Linked DNA regions of Alligator mississippiensis. The protein of the gene in region 2 purifies or fractionates together with the protein of the main gene of each other region. This does not show direct contact. Links are inferred from orthologs where the notes say so. Each region holds a gene or a part of one and is shown on either strand. Other genes may lie near its edges.

What was found.
Region 1: the proteins of IRF2 (region 2) and IRF2BPL purify together in Homo sapiens (affinity purification with mass spectrometry; 3 studies listed by BioGRID and IntAct, counting the BioPlex papers as one, with this or other methods). This does not show direct contact. The link is inferred for Alligator mississippiensis from reciprocal best matches to the Homo sapiens genes IRF2 and IRF2BPL.
Region 3: the proteins of IRF2 (region 2) and IRF2BP1 purify together in Homo sapiens (affinity purification with mass spectrometry; 4 studies listed by BioGRID and IntAct, counting the BioPlex papers as one, with this or other methods). This does not show direct contact. The link is inferred for Alligator mississippiensis from reciprocal best matches to the Homo sapiens genes IRF2 and IRF2BP1.

The regions. Positions count from the first base shown.
Region 1 is NC_081825.1:262,647,318-262,654,857, forward strand, and holds the start of IRF2BPL (probable E3 ubiquitin-protein ligase IRF2BPL), read right to left. Parts: upstream 3,011-7,540; 5' UTR 2,628-3,010; coding exon 372-2,627; 3' UTR 1-371. UniProt on the Homo sapiens protein: Probable E3 ubiquitin protein ligase involved in the proteasome-mediated ubiquitin-dependent degradation of target proteins. Through the degradation of CTNNB1, functions downstream of FOXF2 to negatively regulate the Wnt signaling pathway.
Region 2 is NC_081825.1:71,102,079-71,109,327, forward strand, and holds the start of IRF2 (interferon regulatory factor 2), read left to right. Parts: upstream 1-4,246; 5' UTR 4,247-4,474; intron 4,475-7,249. UniProt on the Homo sapiens protein: Specifically binds to the upstream regulatory region of type I IFN and IFN-inducible MHC class I genes (the interferon consensus sequence (ICS)) and represses those genes. Also acts as an activator for several genes including H4 and IL7.
Region 3 is NC_081838.1:466,328-473,645, forward strand, and holds IRF2BP1 (interferon regulatory factor 2-binding protein 1), read right to left. Parts: upstream 3,011-7,318; 5' UTR 2,931-3,010; coding exon 1,197-2,930; 3' UTR 353-1,196; downstream 1-352. UniProt on the Homo sapiens protein: Acts as a transcriptional corepressor in a IRF2-dependent manner; this repression is not mediated by histone deacetylase activities. May act as an E3 ligase towards JDP2, enhancing its polyubiquitination. Represses ATF2-dependent transcriptional activation.

The sequences.
Region 1 (7,540 bases), about 190 Mb from region 2:
ACTGGCCTTGGCAAAAAAAAAAAGTTGTATTTTTTTCTTTTTTCTTCTTCTTCTTCTGTCAGAGAAGTGCATACATTTACAAAAATACACACCAGCAGCAGGTAATCGCTAAGGGCTATTAACTGTGTACCTAGCCAACACACTGCCAAAGAAATGAGACCAGGGCTTATGGAGTAACCAAACAATATTATATTCTGTTTAACAAAAACCAGCTCTATCCTTCAAATGAAGAAGAGTACATACCTTTGTTTCAAAATATAGAAACGTACGACGAAAATAATGTCTATACATCAGACTAACTTTGTTGCAGTCCGTTATATTCACAATTCTACAGGTTCAGGAGCCTGGAGGGAGGGGCTGGGCGGCCTAGTTCAAGGGTCTCTCTCCTTTTTCACTTTCACGTCCCCGGCTAAAATGGTGGCGATCTCGCCCTGCATAAACGCCCAAGGCACGTTGGAACCGACAAGGGGGCATTTCTCTCCGCTGGGGCAGTAGACCTCGCCCGTGGCCCCCTGGGCCTTGATGCTCTCTCGGGAGCAGGGGAAGCAGAACTTGTGGCTGGGCACGGACGGGCACTGCACGAAGTGCGTGTCCTCCAAGCGTTCGTGGCAGATGGTGCAGCAGAGGGGGCCGCTGTTGGCCATGGGCGAGTCGGGAATGTTTTGGGGGTGCACGGGGTCCATGCCAGGGTGGGCGCTAGGGGGAGGGGGGGCCACCTGCAGGTTCATGTCGCCGTTGCGCGAGGCCAGGCGGCGCTGGCCGGGCACCGAGGCGGGGGACACGGGGCTGCTGCTGTTCCGGCGGCCGGCCGTGGTGGAGTGCACGGAGCTGCCGTCCTTGGGCGAGTGCGCCGTGCCCAGCGTGTCGGCCACGGACATGAGCGCCGCCATGGGCGACTGCCCGTTCTGCGGGGCCGCCTCGGGCGGCGTGGTCCGGTTGGGGTGCGGGCCCAGCGGCGGCGGCGGCGGCGGCGGGCCTCCGCCGTGCACGGCGCCGAAGCCGCCCGCCGCCATGGTGAGCTTGAGCGCTTCGCTCTGGCTGGCCATCCACTGCTGCCGCTGCTGCTCCTCGCTCAGCTTCAGCCCCGCCTCGGCCGAGTCCGGCGGCTCGGGGGACGCCTTCCTCTTGCGCAGCCCACCCCCGCCGCCGCCGCCGCCGCCGCCGCCCGGGCCCCGCGCCGAGCCGGCCGCCGCGCCCTGCCCCGCCGCGGGGCCGCCGGCCGGCCGGGGCAGGCTGACGAGCGCCGTGGGCAGCATGGGGCAGCTGGCGTCCAGGTAGGGCTGCGGCAGCATGTCGGCGCCCACCAGCTCCTTGAAGAAGCGCACGGACTCGGGCAGCAGGTCGCCCAGCAGGCGCCAGTCGCCGGAGCCGTGCTTCTTCTCGTACTCCAGGTACTTGAAGCCCGAGGACAGGCCGCGCCCGAAGTCCTTCATGCAGTCCTGGTACATCTGCTTGGCCACGCCCGAGGCGCTGGAGAAGACGGTGCCCGAGCCGCTGGGGTACTCGATGAAGAGCTTCAGCTCGTAGTCCAGGCCCGGCTTGGACACGGCGTCGAAGGCGAAGACGCGGCCGAGCAGCGTGTGGTCCTTCTTGAAGCGCACCTCGTAGGGCGTGCAGCCCGCCAGCGTCAGCAGCGTGTCGCGCACCAGCTTGGGCTTGCTGGCCCACTCCTCGGCGCGGTTGCGCAGGCTTTCGCCCAGCTCGGCCAGCGCCTCGGCGTTGCGCTGCTTCTCCTTCAGCTCGCGCTCCTGCTCGCTGCTGGACACCGAGCCGGGCCGCTTGTCGCCCGCCGCGCCGGGGCCCGGCCCGCCGCCGCCGCCGCCGCCCGGCCCCGCGCCGCCCGGCCCCGCGCCGCACGCGCCCGCCGGCGCCGAGCCCGAGGCCGCGGGGGGGCCGCCGCCGCCGCGCCCGCTCAGGCTGCCGTGCGGCGGGGGAGGCAGCGCCACGCCGGCGGCCGCCGGGCCGTTCAGCAGCGTCTGCGGCAGCAGGTTGGGCGGCACGCTCAGCCCGGCGCCGCCCGCGCCCGGCGGCAGCCCGGCCACCAGTCCGCCGTGCGCGCCGCGCCGCGACGACGCCGCCGCCGAGGCCGACGAGGAGTTGGGGCTCTGGCGGTTCAGCTCGGGCGGCCCGTCCTCAGGCGCCTTGGGGAAGCCGTTCGGGCCGCCCAGCCCGTTGGGCAGGCGGGCGGCCAGGCTGCCCGGCGGCGGCGGGTACTCGAAGCGGCCGCGCGGCTCCGCCGCCGCGCTCAGCCCGTAGCGCTCGAGGCCGGCCGGCGCCAGCCCCGCCGAGGCGGCCTTGGCTGACGCGTCCACGTGGTTCAGCTGCTGCTGCTGCTGCTGCTGGGCCGCTGCCGCCGCCGCCGCCGCCTCCTTGGCGGACAGCGGCACCGCCTTGACCCCGACGGGCGGCGGCGGGCCCGGCGAGCGCCCGTCCTGGAAGCAGCCGTGCGCCCGCTTGAGCTGCCGCGCCGTCTCGATGACGAACTCGATGCGGTCGGCGCCCTCGTAGTTGACGCAGCCGCGGCACACGGGCTCCGTGAAGTCCCAGATCATGGCCCAGGGCATGCGGGGCAGGTCGCACAGGTAGCACGACTGTCTCCGCGACGACGACACCTGCGCGGCCGACATGGTGCCGCGGGCGGCGGCGCTCCCCGTGCCGGCTCCCGCGGGCCCTGGCGGCGGGGGCTCGGCTCGCCGCTGCTGCCGGACAGCGCTGCCCTCTTGCTACCTGGCGCCGGCAGCGTCGCCTGCTCCCGCTCCCGCTCCGCGCCGCTCCGCCGGGGGGCTGGCTGGGCTGGGCTGGGGTCGCCTTCTCGCCGCTGTTTCCCGGCGCGCTCTCGCTCTGGCTCTCGGCGGCGGCTCCTCCTCCGCGCGGGGGGCGAGGGGGGGCGGCCTTCTACCCGGCGCCTTTTACCCGGGGACCCGCGGGAGGAGCCGCCCGGGCCGGGCCCGCTCTCCGCGCTGCTGGCGAGCGGCGCCGCCTGCTCCGCACTCACATCTCGCCGCTGCTCGGGGCTCGCGCTCGGAATCCGGAGTGTGTCGCGTCCGGCGTGGCCCCGCCCCCCCCGCCCGGCGCGGCGCGGATGCCACCGGGGTGGAGCCCTCGCGTCACGCCCGCTCCGCCCCGCCCCCCGCCGCAGTTCCCCTTTCCAGCCTCCCTCCCCTCCCCCCACTTCCTCTGCCTACGGACGCGGAGGCCACTTGTTGCGCGGAAATTGCGCATGCTCGGCCCGCTGCCCGCTTCCTCCCTCCCGGCTGCGCGACAGCTGAGGCAGCGGGAGAGACGCACCGAGGGCTATGTTTGGAAACTCAGACACGAACTCGCTCCCGCTCCCAGCCCCCCGGCAGCTCCTCCCGAGCCAGGAGGCGGCCGGGAAGCACATGCGGAGCAGCCCGGCCGCAGGAGGACACGCACTTCGTGCAGTGCCGGCCGCAGGGGGCTGCCCGCTCCTGGCTGTCAGATGAGCCGGGCCCGGCTGCCAGAGCCGCAGGGGGCGGGGCGGGGCGGGGCGGGGCTGGGCGCGGCCGGGCTGGTGACCCCCAGGGGAGGGCCGCCGGATCCCCCCACGCAGGGGCAGCGCCGAGCTTTCGTTTTCCTTCTCGGGCTGCGCTGGTCAGCAGCCGCTCCAGGTCATGCAAATGCGCTGTGAACGCGTCGCACTCGCAGGGGAAAACGCGCTTTATTTTCGAGGCTGCAGCTGTGACGCTGGAGCGTGGCCGTGGCCGTGGCCGTGGCCGGGCGGAGGTTGCGGCTGCAGCGTCCGCAAGCCCCGGCCCCAGGCCCCCCACCCCCGCGGCCCGAGCCTGGCGCGCTCCTGTGCCCAGGGCCCTGCGTCACTGGTCGCACCATGTAGCTCGCTCCCAGGGTGACTCCCCCTCGCCAGGGAAACATTGCTGCACTCCCCGAGCTGTAACGCTGCAGCTGGTCACGCCGGATAACCCCTCTCTTGTTTTTGCTCCTCATTCAGCTCGCCTTCATTGAACGCAGAAGAGAACAAAAAAAATGGCCTTTTGATTTCTCTCCCTCTCCTGCAAAGGCCGCTCTAATTTCTGTGGCATGGCGCCATGTCCCCTCTCCACAAAAACGTACAGTATTAACAACGCAGTGCTTCGTGCCTCGTGAAAGAGGGACCAGCGGGGTATCAGCTCTGTTCAAGTTTCTTCAAATAACGTGATTCCCTTCAAATCCCCGCTGCTTCTCAGGGCCACGTCCAGGGCTCTTAAAGCCGGCAAACTTGATGTGAAATGATATGTCCGGCTTTTTTTAAGAGAAAAAGCGACCTGAAACGCAGGCCGTAAAGCTACAGAAGGGACGGGCTCCGATCCAGCCAGCTCTGACCAGGTGCCATCATTTTTCCAAAGGGGCAGCTCATGGGGCAACGAGGTAGAAAGGAAAACCGAAAGTCCTTGGATGAGCTAAGTCTCTCGCGTGCACAATTTCTGTAGGAGATGAACTCCCGGGGGATGGTTTGCACATGGAGGAGTGTCATACCCAGGCTGCGGACAATATCAAGGCTTCATTGAAGCGGAGTCCAGCGAGGCAGGTGGAGGCGGGGGGCGAGCGGCCTCTCCTCGCAGCGCCCCGGGGGGCTTGGGGAAGGCTGCGGGGCTTCCCCTCCATGTCACTGGACTTGTCTGAACACGATGTGCTCGCTGTCACACAGACCTGAAGGGCAACCCCCTCTCCCCTTCCCCCTGCTCTGTGATCTGCACGTAAGCAACAGAATTGGGCGATGAGAAAAAAAAGTCTTCCCTTTGCCTAAATCATGCCAGCCGAGGAAGCAGAGGTCCCCCCGGCCCTGGCTCTCTGGGAAGGGGATGCGAGAGGAGTGGAGCTGGATTTCACTCCACAAATGCCAAGGCGCTCCCTCGCCCTGGCTCCTCTGACTCCTAACTGCGGGAAAGCCCCAGGCTCCCCGCAGGAGCGGCCAGGCCCCGGGCTCACGAGACCAGCGCAGGGAAACAATAACCAGAGAGCAGATCTAGCCTCAGCAAAGCGCTCACGGGTGCTGGCAACTCCCTTTCTAGTCTGGGAACAGAAAAAGATGGGCGATTAGCACGTGTGAGCCGGCTCCGCGGCCTTTCCTCTTCCGGGAAGGATGCGCTGGTGGGAGCGGGGATTTCTTTTCCCGTGATGATTAAACCCGGCTTTGAAGCGGGGCCCCGGGGGTCCCTGCCTGGGAGGCGGCGGCACCGAGCGGCCGGGCAGGACCCATCTGGGCTGCTGGAGGGGAGCAGAGTGAACGATGCCAACCTAACAGTCAACGCTAAAATCTCCCTCAAGGGCGGCAGGGCGCCTCTCCCACCGCGCTGTCCTTTCGCCGGCCAGGAGCAGGGCGGCAGGAAGCCGGGTGAGTCTCCTTGGGCCGCCACTCAGCCAGAGAGATGTTTCTTTAGCTCTGCAATAATCCTGGAATTAAAGCGCGTGTGGAGGAGAAGCAGGAGGAAAGGCAAGAGCCCAGGCAAGGAAGTCTCCCAGGTGTGTGCCCCGGTGCCAGCACACACGCAGCCCGGCAGCGCCAGCGGCGGGGGCTGGTGGCCGGGCGCGGCCCGAGCCGAGGGGCCGCGATCGGGAGGCCCTGGCCCCGGTCCCTGATGAGTGACCTGCCAGCAGCCCCGGGGCCAGGGCGTCCCTCTGGCTAACACGAGCATCTGCCAGTTCCGGGCAGGAAGGTTCCGGCCCCACGGGTCCTCTCGCTCGATCCCCGTCCCCAGGTTCATGACTGACGAGAGGTGAAGCTCTGATCTGAGCAAGGGAAGCAAACAGATCAGAGGACACACGACCCGGCCGACCCTGCACACGCAGCAAGCATGGAGGACAATGTCCTACCAAGGCAGGAAGCACTCGCCTGGGCTCAGCCCCCTGCCACAGCTTGCAAATGCACTGGGGGGACGGCTGAGGTCCCTGGGAGAGCAGCACTGATTGCTACCGAGCCCTTGCCTGCGGCAGCCCCAAGGTTTTCGGCACGAGCCATGAGGACGCCGTGAACCAAGCGGAATTGCCATGAGACGTGTAGCCCGGATCCGTTCCCAGATCGGGCCGGGCCAAGGGCTCGCTCCGCACGTAGCAGCCCGGCCGCTACAAGGACACTCTTCCTTCCTGAGGAGCTCACCTCAGAAAGGGGGAGGGGGTGTTAATCAGATCTGTCCTCTCTCGTGGCCCTGCCCCGGGATCAAAGCAGCAGCTCCAGCTGCAACGCAGGGGCGGGGAGGGGGCACAGGAAGGAAGAGAAATCGTGACAGAGCCCGGCCAGTGCAGAGATCTCCCCTGGCGCAGCGCGGCAACCGGCAACCGCAGTCGCTCCCAAGCAAGTGCCTGGCTTGAAACCAGTGAAGAGGTGAACCCTGGAAAGCGCTGAGGCGTGCAGGGGAGTGTGCTCCTGAAACGGCATCGCAAATACTGGGGGAGGGACTTCCACAATTTTGTCAAATTAAAAGTGAAACAGCAGCGTCTTCTGCTGCAAACTGCCAGGAAGTGTCAAAACACGTAGTTACAAAGAGCAAGAGTGTAATTACGTGTTTCTGTTTATCGTTTCAGTTACCAGTTCTCTGCAGATTACAGGCCCTATTCGAAAATACTCCAGCTCCGGGGGCTTGTTGCTGTCTGCAGGCCTTCTTTCCAGCCTCCTGCCTAGGAATGCACCTTCCTTTCTTTCTCTGTTCTAAACCTGCCACTGGTTTCTCTACATGCTGGAGCTTACCACTTTGTAAGTGAGGCTTATGTCCCGCGCTCTATTTCTAGGAGGTTTCACTGCTAATTTTCTTTTTTTCTTTTCTTTTCTTTTCACAGTGCTGTTTCTCCTTTGCCACCACAGAGCACGGCTTGCTAGGGGGGTCTGTCTTCCTGGGGCCCTTTCGCTACTAACTACGTGATCCCACTGTACAAAATAGGTAACTTGGTTTCCCCCCCAAACCATGCAAAAGTTCCACTTCTTCCCCAGAAAGCAGCCCTGCTTCCCTTTTCATACAACTGTATTTATGGCTTTTTTAAATAATCTGTGGGCCCAGATTTCCAGGTGCCCACATTTGCCAAATCTTACAGTGCAAAATTAGACACCCATCATTATTTCTGTTTGCTCTGAAAGAGCCTAGATACCCCTGGACTGCACCCCTTGTGAGCCTGGGTTTGCCACTGTTGTTATTTTTATTTTACTCATTGACTGTATTCAGCTTACATCCTGGGGACGTAGTAAACAATCAACAATAATGAATCAACTGAATCGGTACTTCTTTTTTTTTTTTTTTTCTTTTTTTTTAAGGCTATTCCCACTGAGAGCCACTTGCACTTTCATGACAGTTAAGAATCTGCCAAACATTAGCTTAGTTACCAGCAAGACAGCCTCCCCCTCCCTTCAACCCATACACAGATTGTTTATCAAAACGTGCTGCCAAGAAAAATATCCCTGCTTTTGGCCTCCACCAGTGATTAATAACACTTGAGAACTGAACAAAACTTTACTGTGTTTAAAAAAAAAAAAAAAAGTGGGAGGGAGGAGGGGGGAAAGCCAAATTTGAAAGAGAGACAGAGAAAGAAAGAGAGA
Region 2 (7,249 bases):
GTCCCATGCCAGGGCCAGGAGTGGCAGGAGCATGGAGCCTGGACTTGGAGGAGCACTGGCAGGGGCTCTGCCTGCCATGGGGGGGGTGGGCAAACCCTCCCCCTCCACACATGCCACAACTCTCCCCAGCCACTCTCCCCCCCACATACTCACAGTCTCCCATAAACCCCATACTCACCCACACCCATGTTCTCCCACCCCACATACACATACACACCTATCCACCCCCACAAGCTCCACACCCACACCTTCCCCCACACTCCACATACCCACACATCCACAGTCCCCCACAAACCTATACCCATGCATCCATACCCCCACATGTCCCCCATGTGTAAGATTTCCTTTTTAGCTATTATACAATCACCTCTATGCACACTATACAAACACAAACACAGGTAAATCAAGACAAAAATGTTTTTTGAAATCACATTAATGAATGTCATAGCAGATATTTGATTTTTTAGAATATAATTTGGTATTTTTCTGGTTCCGAGATGGCAACCCCCCCTTGCATGCTTCTGGGGGGCAAGAGGACAGACTTCTGGTGGCAAAGGTCAGGGGTTAGGGGGCAGGACTTCCAGTCCCAAGATGGCAACCAGGGGGTGGGGCACCTGTCAAGGGGTGGGGCTAACCTTGTGGCCCTCAACAGCTTGCCAAAACTCAGTAAGCGGCCCTCCGCCCAAAATAATTGCCCGCTCCTGCTTTACCGTCTGCCATATAAAATGATCACAGCATTAATATTGGCTCCTACTAAATCCTGTGATTTTTTGATGAATGCTGTCATTGTAGCAACACCGAAAGTATATGGTTTAAAGTTTTGCTCTCTCTGTGGTCTCTGAAACTAGTATTTGTTACTGTTAAATATATATTATAACATTAAGTGAAATTTAGACACTGCAGAATCGCAGGTGGTTGTGAGCATTATTGAGAGGATATGTTTGTACTACAATCTAGAGATTTGATGCAACTTGTATAGTGCCAGCTTCAGACCAAATAGCTTGGGCACTAGTAATAGCAGCATGGACATTAGTGCAGGCCGCATGAATCTCCCAAATGCTTGTAGTCTGTACTGCTATAGCTAGATTGCTACCGCTAGTTGATTATAGGCTAGTTTGGAGAAATCCACATGAGCTGTCATTACACCTTTGGACTGTAGCTAAAACATACTGATAAGAGAAATGTTTTGTATTCAGCACTGACTGAAGGCCCAGTCCCAATCACAGTGGAGTCAATCAGACCTTTTAGCAGATGTTACAATGAGTCAGATGAGGCCCCAGAAAATGTAAAGTAGCAAAATTCAGGAAATTTGACAGTTTTGTCAGGGAATGTTTCAGTTGTACCAGGGGACTCTACAGTTTTGTTTGTGTGGCTATGATATTTCTTTCTAGATTAATTGTCCTTCCTTTGCTCATTCTTCTGCTTCTTAAATGTTTTAAGTACTTTTAATATGTACTGCACCATATTGCACTGGTGATTTCTGCCAGCAGGAGCCTTCTAAATGCACTATGTGGTTTCCAGATTTTTTATTATGTTCCTTTCTCTGAAGCACTGGATACTGGCCATGAATGACTAGTGATAGGAAATTGGTCTCGGTATGCTTGTGATAGTAGTAATACTTTATTTACAGCTTTCATTGGAACAATACAATAGAATTAACAGTAAAATAACATATATAATAATAAAATGTCATAAAAGCATACAATTATGTTACACATTCTACTAATTTAAACAAAAGTGACATAGAGCATAATATATGATGATACAAAAAATAGATAAATAAAGCAGTAGTAAAAATGAAAAGCAGGGAATTCTATTTGATTTTGGCCCTTATTTTTTGTTCAAGTAGGGCAAATATGCCAATGGAGTATATGATAGACTGTAAGTTGTTAGAGAGGAGCCAAACTGTCTTTTCTTCATTAGCCCAGTACTTAAAATTTTCCACTATGCCCATGTATGCTTGCTTATGTTCCTACTGGTACTGAGGAAACGGCTCATATGCCTGGCTGTTGGGCCTTGCTCATGCACTTAGGATGGAATTTTCCTCCAGTCTGTTTGGCACCGACCCCTGGAACATTTTTGTTTTCCCCTGTAGGAGTGTATTTTACCTAACAAATTCCCTACTGGAGTAGGAGCCAAAGTACTGCAGTCCTCGTTTCTCCTGCTCTTTTCCTGTGCTGTGTTGTAAGCATTCTTTGATTGTTTTCACTTTCTTTCTGGCTGTGGTATATGGAAGAAGCTGGACTTCTTGTGGACCATTTAGACAAACATTTATTACATGCATGTCTGCAATCCCAAAAAGTCCTTTCTGTGCTCCTAAAATGAAAGGTGAAAGAGAAACAAATATTCTAAAATAGTTTGGTTCATGTTTTCTTCAGGTGGACCAAGATGTGTTTTACTTTAATTAATATCACTGACAACCATTGCCTCTCTGTAGAAAAAACCCCAGATTCTCTTTGAGGTAAAATATAATTAAATAGAACAATATTACAGAAAGCTTGTATGTCAGCAAATTATGAGAAAAAAAATCTAAAATCTTTTAAAGATAGCTTATTCAGTAAGCAAATTGTGAGCATACATTGTCACCAAACATTTCATAAATATATTGGACAAGTTTCATGCAACCATTCATAGTTTTGCTCTTTTGTTATTAAAATTTAGGACAAGGTGGGTTAAGTAAAAAATAGTAGGTGATTTAAAAAAATCAAAGTGACTTGTCACCTGTGAAAAGTCAGGGTTGTGTAAATTTTTGTAGAATAAATATTTTCTTTGGATTTCCACTCACCCTGAGAATGTGAGTTCATATTTTCAAGAAATACATATTATCTTAACTAGTTCATGCTTGAAAATCTAGCTATGGCTTTTCAGACCACATCACAATCTTTTAAAATATCAACATTTGCAATATACCCGTGTGAGGGGTAAATACTATCATCCCCACTTTACAGAGGGGATATAGAGGCACTAAGAAACTAAATCAATTTCTGTGGGAGTGTGGTATCTAAATGTCTTTGTGGGCATTGACCCAAGTGACTTGCTGAGAGTCATACAGGAAATCTGACAGAGAAAAGATCCAAACCCTGTTTTTCTGATCCCCAGGATAACTCCCTAAGCCCTAGTCTTTGGAGACAACATAGTGCAGAGATGCCTTGCAGAGATCTAAAGGACAATTCTAACACAATTGGAACATTGATTTGTGTGGCACTAGGCATCTGGCTGGAAATGTACATTATTTTATCAATAAGTGAAGCTTAAAATTGCAAAGAGGGGTTGAAAATTTAACTAAAAATGTTCAGGCACACCAGTCAAGCTGCACATAAAAAAGCAATCTGTAAGGAAACTGGCAGCATATGCTGAGCATCTGGTGCATCTCCACATATTCATAATATCTGATACCCTGGGATGGAAGGAATTAGGATGCAGTGACAGCAGAGACTTGCATTATGCTTTCCCAGTCTACAGAAATTGGGAATCGGTTCTAACTCCAAACAAGCTCTTGGGCTGGGCTTTCTTTTAGGCCAATGTCTGATACCTTTTGGAGGCTGGGCTGGGTTTGTTTTCCACACCTTTTAAACGAAGAGGTTGAGTGTGCATATATTTTGGAGGGTGAGGCTGTGGAACAGGCTGCCCAGGGAATCTCCTTTCCTGGAGGTTTTCAAGAGGAGGCTGAATAGGGATTTGACAGCGGTGCTTTAGCACTAGCAGAAGGCTGTCATGTTATGCACTGCCTAAATCCGAGAGAGGTGCAGAAGCTTTCCTAAAGAGACTGTCTAAATCAGAGATGCATAAGCTTTCCAAAGCAGTGGCTTGCTTCACCAGACCCTGTGCCAGTTATGTATGTGCGCGGGGGGGCTGGACCTTGATCCCTGAGGTCCCTTCCAACCCTAGGCTTCCCTGGGAGGCTGTTGACACATCCTCGAGACATGGAGATTGGGACACTTAAAAAAAGCAAAACCGCAGAACCAGGCGTTCTTTGTCAGAGGATTAGAGAAGGAAAAAGAAAATAAAAAGGAGGAAAAAAGAGGCCAGGCTGTGGTCCAGCAGCTCCTCTGGTTTCTCTTGCCCTGGAACTGAAACCTCGCAGCCTGCCTGTGTGCGTCTCTGCCTCTCGCACACGGACACGCCGCTGCGGCTGCTGGAGGGAAGTGAAAATGAAATCGACTTTTCCGAGAAATGATGAAAGCGGCTCCGCCTGCCAATGAAAGGCTGCGGCAAACTTCCGCACCCCTTCCTCCGCCCCTCGCCCGCACAAACAGCCGGGAGGGGAGGGAAAGGGGGGGATTTCCAAGCCGCCGCTCCTCGCAGTTTCCTCTCCTTGTTTTGCTTTCGATCTGGCCCTTTCTCAGCCCAAGCGGCGAGGCAGGAACTTTTAGTTTTGCTCCTGCGATTATTCAGCGGGCGGTTTTCATTTCCACTTCGCCTCCCCTGGCAACGGCGGCACCTGGAGGGAACATTTAAATCCCGGCGCGCCGAGGTAATGTATTTTTTAAAAACCCGAACAAACAACAGCAAAGCCCGAGCAGAGCCCGGGCCCGGGGGGGAGGGGGGCACGGGGCCGCTGTCTCCCCTCCGCCCCCACAAACGCCAGGGCGCGGCGCGGGGGCAGCGCGGGCCGGGCCGGGCCGGGGGGGACGCGGCGGTGCCGCAGCGTGGGGGGGAGGCTGTGGCGCTGAGGCCGCCGCCTCCCGCCCTCCGGCCCGCCCGCCTGGCCTCCCCCCGCGGCGGCGGCCTAGCGGCGGCGGCGACAACCGGCCTGACTGCCTGCGCCCGGGCGGGGCCCGCTGTGTGGAGGGGGCTCCGTGACGCGAGCCCCGGCGCGCTCAGCCCCGCGGCCCGGAGACCAGGCCTGCCCGGGGCGCGGCCGGGTGCTCGGCCTTGCCCGCCGGGCCGGGCCGGGGCGGAGCCCCCTGGACACGGGCCCCTGCGGCGGGGCCGCCTCCGGCCTGCCTGCGACGGGGGCCAGGGCCAGGGCCGCGGGCACCAGCGCCGGGGGGCACTGCCTTCGCCTGCGAGCCCGGGGGAGAGGTGTGTGTGACCCCACCTCTCGTGTGTGTGTGTGTGTGTGTGTGTGTGAGACACACCACCTCTGTGTGAGCGTGTGTGAATCCGTGTGTGAGCCTGTGCACTTGTGCATGTGTGAGTTGTGAACCCATGTATGTCTGAGCCTGTGTGCGCGCGAGTGATCCCACCCCCCTTCCGGTCTGGAGCCAGCGAGCCTTGCCGTGCGGCGGCTGAGATGACCTTGTTTACATCCATGATTCTCACCCAGGGAGCCACATTCCCCCCTGGGGGATGCTGCACGGTGCAAGCCCTGTGAGGTGCATGCCCCAGATTCGCCCCATAAACACAAGAGGCGAGGACTTCCTAGGGCAGCATCCCTTATTGCACCAACTAGGATAGTGAGAGAAGCTTTCTAGTGTAAGACATCATGGCTCCAATGTCGCTCCTCATGGCTTCAATGTGGCTCTTATGACACCATCACCAGATAAACCCAGAGATGTTCATATAGGAGCCAGGAGTGTTAAAAGTATCCTGGCCTGTTGTGGTCTTTCTGAGTCTCTGCAACAGAAGAACATCTCTGTTAGTCTTCTGTAGTCAGAAATTGAGTGAAAGCTAAGAGCTGAGGTTGTCAGAGGGCTGCCTTGAGGCTGTCGAAGGGTGCTTTGAGTCTAGAAAGGGCAAGAATGACTGGTTTAGACCCTCAGAGGTATTTAGGTGCTGTTACCCTATGGTGCTTGAAACAGTTGTGGCAGATAGTTGGACCTTCAGTGCTGCCTGACAACATGTTTATAGAAGCAGTTCTAGAAATAAGATTTGTTTTACAGTGAGTGCTTTAGGATTGTGGCATAGATGGAGCAGTGATATACAGTCTCATGCTACTGAAGAAAAATGTCCTCCTGTGCAGCCTTCGACAACAGCCGATTAGCAGTCCAGTCCTGCACACCTCTAATACCTGCCCAGAGCCGTGACATCAGCAGGCACAATTTTACCTTCATGGATCCAGTTGCAGGCCTGGAGCTATAATGCATATTTTTATTTTTTTAAATCATTGCACCACTTGAACCTTGGTTTTTCAACTGGCATTGACATTTGAACTGTTCTTTACATGTGATGTTACAGGATCTGCTTTTTCCTTTCTGGTGCATACAGTGTTAATCCACACTCTGGATGGTAGTGTTAATCCACACTCTGGATGATCTTGTTCAGGGTCTGCTTTGTTAATGCTGTGTAGATGTACACCATCAGGGCAAGTGGCTGGTCCTGAACATTTTCACCCCCCCAAATTGTTTGTGAATGAAGTAGGAATTATAGCTGTGTGTAAATCCAGGCTCAAGTACCAAGGGCCTCTCTGCCCCCCTCACCCCATGAATACCGGGCACTTTGAATCCCTAGTGAAAGCAGTGAGTGTGAAGTTGCTCAGCATGCCAAAATTGGATCCTGAGGCCTGGATCCTCAGTGATATTTAGGAGCTTAAATTCCTTTGAAATTAGCTGGTGTTATGTACCTAGATAGCTTTGAGAATCTGTTCCTGAGTTGGTTTATTTTACCTTAGATGCTTTAATTTCTTTTACACAAGATTTCTGATATGTAAAATACATATATCATTATATTTAATAATATTGCATCTGAAATGAAATCCTACATTTTCACAGGGAGACAGCATTGTCAGTGACATGAATAATTCAATGAAAACACATTTGGTCTGTCTGAAGAAAACCGCAGACCAAGCTGTTCTAGTGCATTTATTCCTCTTTCCATATTTAATATTGAGAACATAGGACTAGAAGGGACCTCCAGAGTCCTGGAGTCAAGTCCCCTGTGATCCATTTGCAGTCACTCAGATAGAAGAGGCTTATTGATTTCAGGGTCAGAGTCTACCGCTTTCCTCCTGTTTAGTGAACACTTATAATTGTTAATGGTTATAAGTCTACTGGGTCAAAATTTTTATACTGCATTTTCTTGAACATAGTAAAAAATTTAAGCTAGATTAAATATTGTATGTTTGAGTTTAGTAAAAAAATATTTAAAATAAATCTCTCTAAGTTCTACATAGAATCCCTTTGGCAGAAAGTGAGCTAGTACTATAAGAAGAGAATTGACCACAGCAGAAACATTTAAATTTACCATAGCAGGAAAATGGTGATATGGTTATAAAAGTCACACATTTTACCTATAAAACAAATTATTTCTCTCTGAATCTGAATTTTTTCTATGCCTTGAAACATGGATAAGATTTCACTGTCCCTCT
Region 3 (7,318 bases), on a different chromosome or scaffold from region 2:
AGCCTGCCAGGGGAGGGGTGCCCCCAGCTGGGCTTGGCCTCCCCACAACCCAGGCCCCTCCCCTCCAGGCAGATACGCCCCCCGCCCCCGCAAATGACATGACCAGCCAGGAGTCAGCGGTAACCAAAGCCAAACAGAAGTAGAAGTTTATTGACAAAAACCAAGAGAAACACAAATGGAGAAGACCCCCCACCCCCATTATAGCCCCCAGAGCGTATTGTGCGCCCCCCCCCCCCAGCCCTGGCATCATGAGGCTGTCCCCCCACCCTGGCTCTGCCCCCCCTGCCTGGGGCCCTTGGTTCAGAGACCAGCCCCCCCCACAGGCCTGAGTCCCATCATGGGAGCTGTGATGCCCCCCCCCAATTCCAGCTGCCCCCCCATGGGATTGGGGGGGGGGCACAGGTCCACAAGGACTCTTCAAGAGGCCACATCCAGCTCAGCCCCCCCTCCCCCCCTACACACACACGGTAACAGGGGGCTGGTCTGCTACCCTATGGCCCTGGAGGAGGTTTGCAACCCCCCACCCCCAAGTCCCCCACGGAGGGCTCCCCCACCCCCCCAGCCAGGCCGAGAGAAACTGAAGCAGGGTGGGTCTAAGCCCTGCCGCCCAGCTCCACCCACTAGGCCACACTCCGCCAATCAGAGCTGGGAGAGACCCCCCAGCCCCTCGGGTGCCCACCATAGCGATAGCGGGTCTGACACCTGCCCCCCAGGAGTCCTGGCTCCCACCTGCTCTGGAGGACTGAGGGGGCACGAGTCAGGAGGGAGGGGCTCCAGATGCCCCAACTGAGCCACTACCCTGTGCCTGCCCCCAGCTCCCGTTTTCTACCCACCTCTGTACCCTGGGGGGGGCACAGGGAGCCTCCCCATCTGGCGGGCTGCATCCGGGGCCCCCACATCACTCCCCTGCATCCCCGCCCTGGTGGCTTGACATGAGTTCATCCATTCTCAGCCACGATGCCCCCTCCCATTGCCCCCCCATCGCCCCCCCCGCATCAAGCTGCTACGAAGCAAGCCCCCCCACCCCTGGTTATGCTGATATGGCCTTCGATATAAGATTGCTATGGGAATATTAAAAAATAAACTATGTACAGGGCCCCGGCCGGGGACAAAGGCAATAAGTTAGCGGTGCCAGTCCCTCCGGCCCCCCCGGCGCAGGCAGCACGCGGGCTCCCCCTGCCACAGCCCGGCGGCGCTCAGGGGTCCCGCTCCTTCTTGACACGGACGTCGCCGGCCAGGATGGTGGCGATCTCACCCTGCATGAAGGCCCAGGGCACGCTGGAGCCCACCAAGGGGCACTTCTCGCCGCTGGGGCAATACACCTCGCCTGCCGCGCCCTGCGCCTTGATGAAGTCGCGGGAGCAGGGGAAGCAGAACTTGTGGCCAGGCACCGAGGGGCACTGCACAAAGTGGGTGTCCTCCAGGCGCTCGTGGCAGATGGTGCAGCACAGCGGGGCGCTGGGGGGGCCCCCGGACGAGTCGGGGGTGCTGCCGCTGGGCTCGGGGCCGCCGGAGGAGTGTGCCGCCGAGGAGGAGGAGGAGGAGGAGGGGGCCACGGCCGTGGCGGCGTCACCGCTGCGGGGCACCAGGCGGTGGGGGCCGGTGGCGGCAGGCGAGGCGGGGCTGGCGCTGCTCTGGCGCGTGGTGGAGTGCACCGGGTTGGCCTCCTTGGGCGACTGGCCGGCGCCCAGCGCATCCGCCACGTTCTTGAGCGCGGCGATGGGCGAGGGCTCGTTGCGTGGCGCCGCCTCGTAGGCCCAGTGCTGCCGCTGCTGCTGCTCCTCGCCCGTCAGCTTCCCGTTGCCGCCGCCCTCGTCCGGCTCCGGGGACGCCTTGCGGCGCCGCAGCAGGGCCCTCGGCGGCACGGCCCGCAGCAGCGCGCCGGGCAGCACGGCGCAGGCCCCGTCCAGGTGCTGCTGGGGCAGGGCCTCGGGCGCCGGCGCGTCCCGGAAGAAGCGCACGCCCTCGGTGAAGAGCTCGCCCAGCAGGCGCCAGTCGCCCGAGCCGTGGCGCTTCTCGTACTCCAGGTACTTGTAGCCCGAGGAGATGACCTTGCCGGGGTCCTTGACGCAGTCCTGGAACATCTGCTTGGCCAGCCCCAGCGCGCCGGCGTAGACGCTGCCCGAGCCGCACGGGTACTCGGTGAAGAGCTTGAGCTCGAACTCGTAGCCGGGGCGCGGGCTGGCGTCGAAGGCGAAGACGCGCCCCACCAGCGCGTGGTCCTTCTTGAAGCGCACGTTGAAGGGCGCGCAGCCCACCAGCGCCGCCAGCTGCTCCCGCACCGCCTTGGGCTTGCCCAGCCAGTCCTCGGCGCGGCCCCGCATGGCCTCGCTCAGCTCGGCCAGGCACTCGGCGTTGCGCTGCCGCTCGCGCTCCTTGGCCTCCAGCCCCGCGCGCCCGCCCAGCCCCGCCACGGCCGCCAGCAGCCCCGCCGGCGCGCCCAGCAGCCCCAGCCCGGGCCCGGGCCCCGCGCCCAGCAGCGCGCGCCGCGCCGTCGGGCTGCCGCGCTCCTCCTCGGCCCGCGCCAGCCCGTTGGGCAGCCGCGCCAGCCCGAAGCGCTCCGCCTCCTTGGGCGGCTTGGGCGCCGGCGGCCCCGGCGAGCGCCCGTCCGGCAGCGCCTGCGAGCGCCGCAGCTGCCGCGCGGCCTCCAGCAGCGGCTCCACGCGGTCCGCGCCCTCGAAGTTGACGCAGCCGCGGCACACCGGCTCGCTGAAGTCCCACAGCATCGCCCACGGCATCTTGGGCAGGTCGCACAGGTAGCACCACTGCCGCCGCGCCGCGCCCGGCCCCGCCAGCGCCAGCGCCACCGGCCCCGGCCCGGGCCCCGCCACCGGCAGCGCCATCATCGCCCGGCCCCGCCGGACCGCCGCCGCCGCCGCCCGCCCGCCGCGCCGCCCCGTTACATAACCGCGCGCGGCGCGCCGGGACATGTAGTCCGCGCCTTAAAGGGGCCCGCGCCGCGCCGCGCCGCGCCGCGCCGAGCACTGCGCGCTCCGCGGGGGACCCCGGCGTCCTGCCCCCCCCGCTCCGGACCCGTGCACCAGCGCCCGGAGCTGCGGATGGAGCCCAGCGACCCCCCATAACCACTAGCTCGCACTCCCCCCTGCCAGGGGTCCGACCCCCCAACCACTAGCCCCCACTCCCCCCTGCCAGGGCTCTGAACCCCCAAACCACTAGCCCCCACTCCCCCCTGCCAGGCGTCCGACCTCCCCAACCATTAGCCCCCACTCCCCCCCCTGCCAAGGGTCTGAACTCCCCAACCACTAGCCCCCACTCCCCCCCCGCCAGGCGTCTGCCTCCTCCACCCAAACACTAGCCCCCACTACCCCCCCTCCCCTGCCAGGCGTCTGACCCCTCCACCCAAACCACTAGCCCCCACTACCCCCCCTTCCCTGCCAGGAGTCTGCCCCCTCTACCCCAACCACTAGCCCCCACTTCCCTCCCCTGCCAGGCATCTGCCCCCTCCACCCAAACACTAGCCCCCACTACCCCCCTTCCCTGCCAGGCATCTGACCCCTCCACCCTAACCACTAGCTCCCACTTCCCTCCCCTGCCAGGCGTCTGCCCCCTCCACCCTAACCACTAGCCCCCACTACCCCCCTCCCCTGCCAGGCATCTGCCCCCTCCACCCAAACACTAGCCCCCACTACCCCCCTTCCCTGCCAGGAGTCTGCCCCCTCCACCCTAACCACTAGCCCCCACTTCCCTCCCCTGCCAGGCATCTGCCCCCTCCACCCAAACACTAGCCCCCACTACCCCCCCTCCCCTGCCAGGCGTCTGACCCCTCCACCCTAACCACTAGCCCCCACTACCCCCCCTCCCCTGCCAGGATCCAACCCCCCCCTAACCGCTAGCCCGCACTCCCCCTCCCCTCCCCTGCCAGGCGTCCGATCGCAGCCACTAGCGGGCAGAGAACCCAGGCGTCCGGGCCGGGCCGGCGGGGGGAGCAGGACAGAGACCTCCCCCGTGGGAGGGGTGCGGCAGCGAAGGGGTTAAGCCGGCGCACTACAACTCCCGGCATGCCCCGCGCTGTGCGCGCACTTCCCCTTCCCGCTACTCCTTCCGCTTTCTCCCCCCCCCTCCCCGCGCTGGCTGTGCTGCGTCACGTGGTTTCGCTTGCCGCCCCGCCCCCCTGCCGCGGATCGCGCGCGGTCCGAGCGCCGCCAAGTTCCCTCCCGCCAGCTCGCGGCTGCGGCCTTGCGTCTGGGGGCGGGGCCAGGCCAGGGGCGGGGTTCTGCGTGTGGCTGAATGTGGGGGTTGGGGCGAGGGGACACGCGTGGGGGGAGGCAGCGGGGTGGGGGGCCGGATGGACGTGACCCGTGGGTACATTTCAGAGCACACAACACCGCCCCGTTCCCGGGCAGGCCCCCAATCCAGGACTGCACCCCCCTCGCCAGCCGGCCCCTGGGCTGAGGCCAGCACTGCCTCCCCGCCCGCTGCTGCTTAATGCCCAGCCCCGAGGGGGGGTCCCTGCACCCCGCGTGCGGCCGCCGGGCTCCCCGGGGGGAGCGGGTCCGTGCCCAGCCTCCCCGCCTCGCAAGGGTTAACCCGGGCCGGGCTGCAGTCCCCGCGGCAGCCAGCAGGCGGCGGCCGAGCCCTGCGCGGGGGGGCCGCGGGGGCGACCTGCTCTAACCACTAGCCTCAGCTCCCAGCGCTGTGCTGGGGAGCCCGGAGTCCTGCTCCCCCCTTGCACCGTCTGGCCGACATTTCCCCTGTGACATCACAATAGGACCCAGGTGTCCGGGGGCAGTGACCCCCCCGTGGAGGTGGGGCTGGGGGGGCCCTGGGCACCGACCCCTTGCAGGGGGCGCAGGCCTCAGCCCCCCTCCCCCCGTACACCGGGGTGGACGGACATCCCGTGCTGGGCAGGGGGTACGGGCCCCCCCGCGGGGCAGGGCTGGGGGACCCCGGCGTCCCGGCAGACAAAGGGGGGGCGGGGCGCGGGGCCCAGATGTGCGGCCGCGGACAATGGGCGGCGGGAAGGGACAGATGGGGCGGCCGCACAATGGAGCCGCGCGCCGCTCGCCCCCCCCAAAGGGGCCATCTGCTCCCCCCCCTCCTTCCCCCCCCCCCGCGGGGCCCAGGCCGGAGCCTGGCGGGGCCGATCTGCGCTTCCAGGGCCTGGGCCTGCCCCAGGCCTTTCTGGGGGGCTGGAATCCCGTGCCCTGCAGGGCCCGGGGTGCCCAGACGGGGTCCCAGGGCCGGGTCTGGCGTCCAGGGCAGGCAGGCAGATGTGGCATCTGCGCCAAGGCCCCTGGGCAGGTCCAGGCTCCTGGGTCTTCCCGGGCCTGGCCCTGATTCCTGCACCATGGCCTGGAGAGACCCCAGGTGTCCAGCCCCCCTCCCCACTGACCTCTGCCCCCAACTGCCCTCTCTGAGTCGGGGAAAGAGCCCCAGCATCCTGATCTGCCACTGCCTGCTCCAGCTCCCTGCCCACCCCCAGCCCCCCATGGCGGGACAGAACCCAGGCACCCTGGCCTGGGGAGCACAGGGGTGGTCTGAGCCACTGCCCCCCCAGCCCTGTCCATCTGTCCAGCCTCAGGACTCCTCCTCCCACGCCAGGAAGCCGAGCCGAGGCCACGTTTCCTCCCTGTGGCTGCTTTCCGCCTCGTGCGGGGGCGGGGGGGGGGCGCTGTGGCTGTGTTGGGTGCCACAGGCCTAGGTTGCCCCCCCCCCGCTTCTCCGCACTGGAGAAACTGAGGCACAAAGGGGAAGGGCAGTTCTGCAAGTCCCTGGCCTGCCAGTGTGTGGGGGGAAGGGTCTGGAGGGTGGAGTCTTAGCCCCCCCCACACCAGGACCCTGGGACCCCTAGCTAGCAGGCTGGCCCCAAGGGGTGCAGACCCCAGAGTGGAGCTTTTGACCCCACCATTGCCCAAAAGAGGGTCCAGGTGCTGGGTTCCCTCCCTTGGCTCTAGATGAGAGGGGGCTGGGGGGTAAGAGCGAGGGGCTTCCGGGGCAGTTGGGTGCTGCCCCCCAGGGTCCTCCCACCCCCTCCCAGGGGCGCTCTCACCCCTCCCCACGTGCCCTGTGCTCCCTCTCCCTGGTGCTCTCATTTCCTCTTGAGCTCAAGGTGAATCGGAGCACTCGGGACGGATGGACGGAGCCCCAGGGCGGACATGGGGTGAGCACGTGTGGGGGTGGGGGGCAGGTAGATGGATAGGTAGGGGTGAAGGGAGGGATGGATAGACGATGGACGAATGGATGGAGAGATGAATGGATGAATGCTGGATGGACAGGTGGGTGGATAGATGGATTGATGGATGGATGATGGATCAATAGATCAATAGGTGGATGGATGGATAGATATGGGAGATGGATAGGCGATGGACAGATAGCAAGAGTGGTGGATAGATGCTGGATGGATGGATGGACAAATGACAGGTCAATACATAGGGATAGATGGATAGGCGATGGATAGAGAGCAAGATGGATGCTGGATGGATAGCTGGGTAAATAGATATATGGGTAGTAGATGGATTGATGGATGCTATATGGAGAGAGAGATAATGGATGGGTGGAGTGGGATGGATAGATAGCAAGATGGGTGGATGAATGGATAGGTAGAGAGATGCTGGGGATAGATACATGAATGGATAGATGGGTGGATGGATAAGTGATAGGTGAATAGACAGACGGATGGACAGATAGCAAGATGGCTAGATGGATGCTGGATGGGTGGATAATGATAGGTGGATAGATGGATTGATCAATGGATGATAGATGGTGGATAGATGGAGGGATAAGGATAGGTCAATAGACAGATGGAGAGGTTGTAGATGGGTGGATGGATAGATATGTGGATAGACAGCAAGATGCATAGATGGAAGGGTGCTGGATGGACATATTTCATAGATGTCATAGACATTAGGGCTGGAAGGGACCCGGGAAGATCATCGAGTCCAGCCCCCTGCCCAAAGGGCAGGAAGTCAGCTGGGGTCATAGGATCCCAGCAAGATGAGCATCCAGTTTCATCTTGAAGGTGTTCAATGAAGGCGCTTGAACGACCTCCGGTGGCAGGCTGTTCCAGACCTTGGGGGCTCGGACAGGAAAAATTCTTCCTTATGTCCAGCCTGAAACGATCTTGTAGTAGTTTGTGACCATTCGACCTCATCATCCCTTGGGGCGCTCTGGTGAACAAACGTTCCCCCAGATCCTGGTGGTCACCCCTGATAAACTAGTAGGTGGCCATCAGATCACTTGCAGATAAGTAGATGTTAGGTGGATACATTGGATGGATGATGGATGGATAGATGGATAGATAACAATAGGTCAATAGACAAATGGATAGATAGGTGGATAGATTGATAGAGAGATCGAT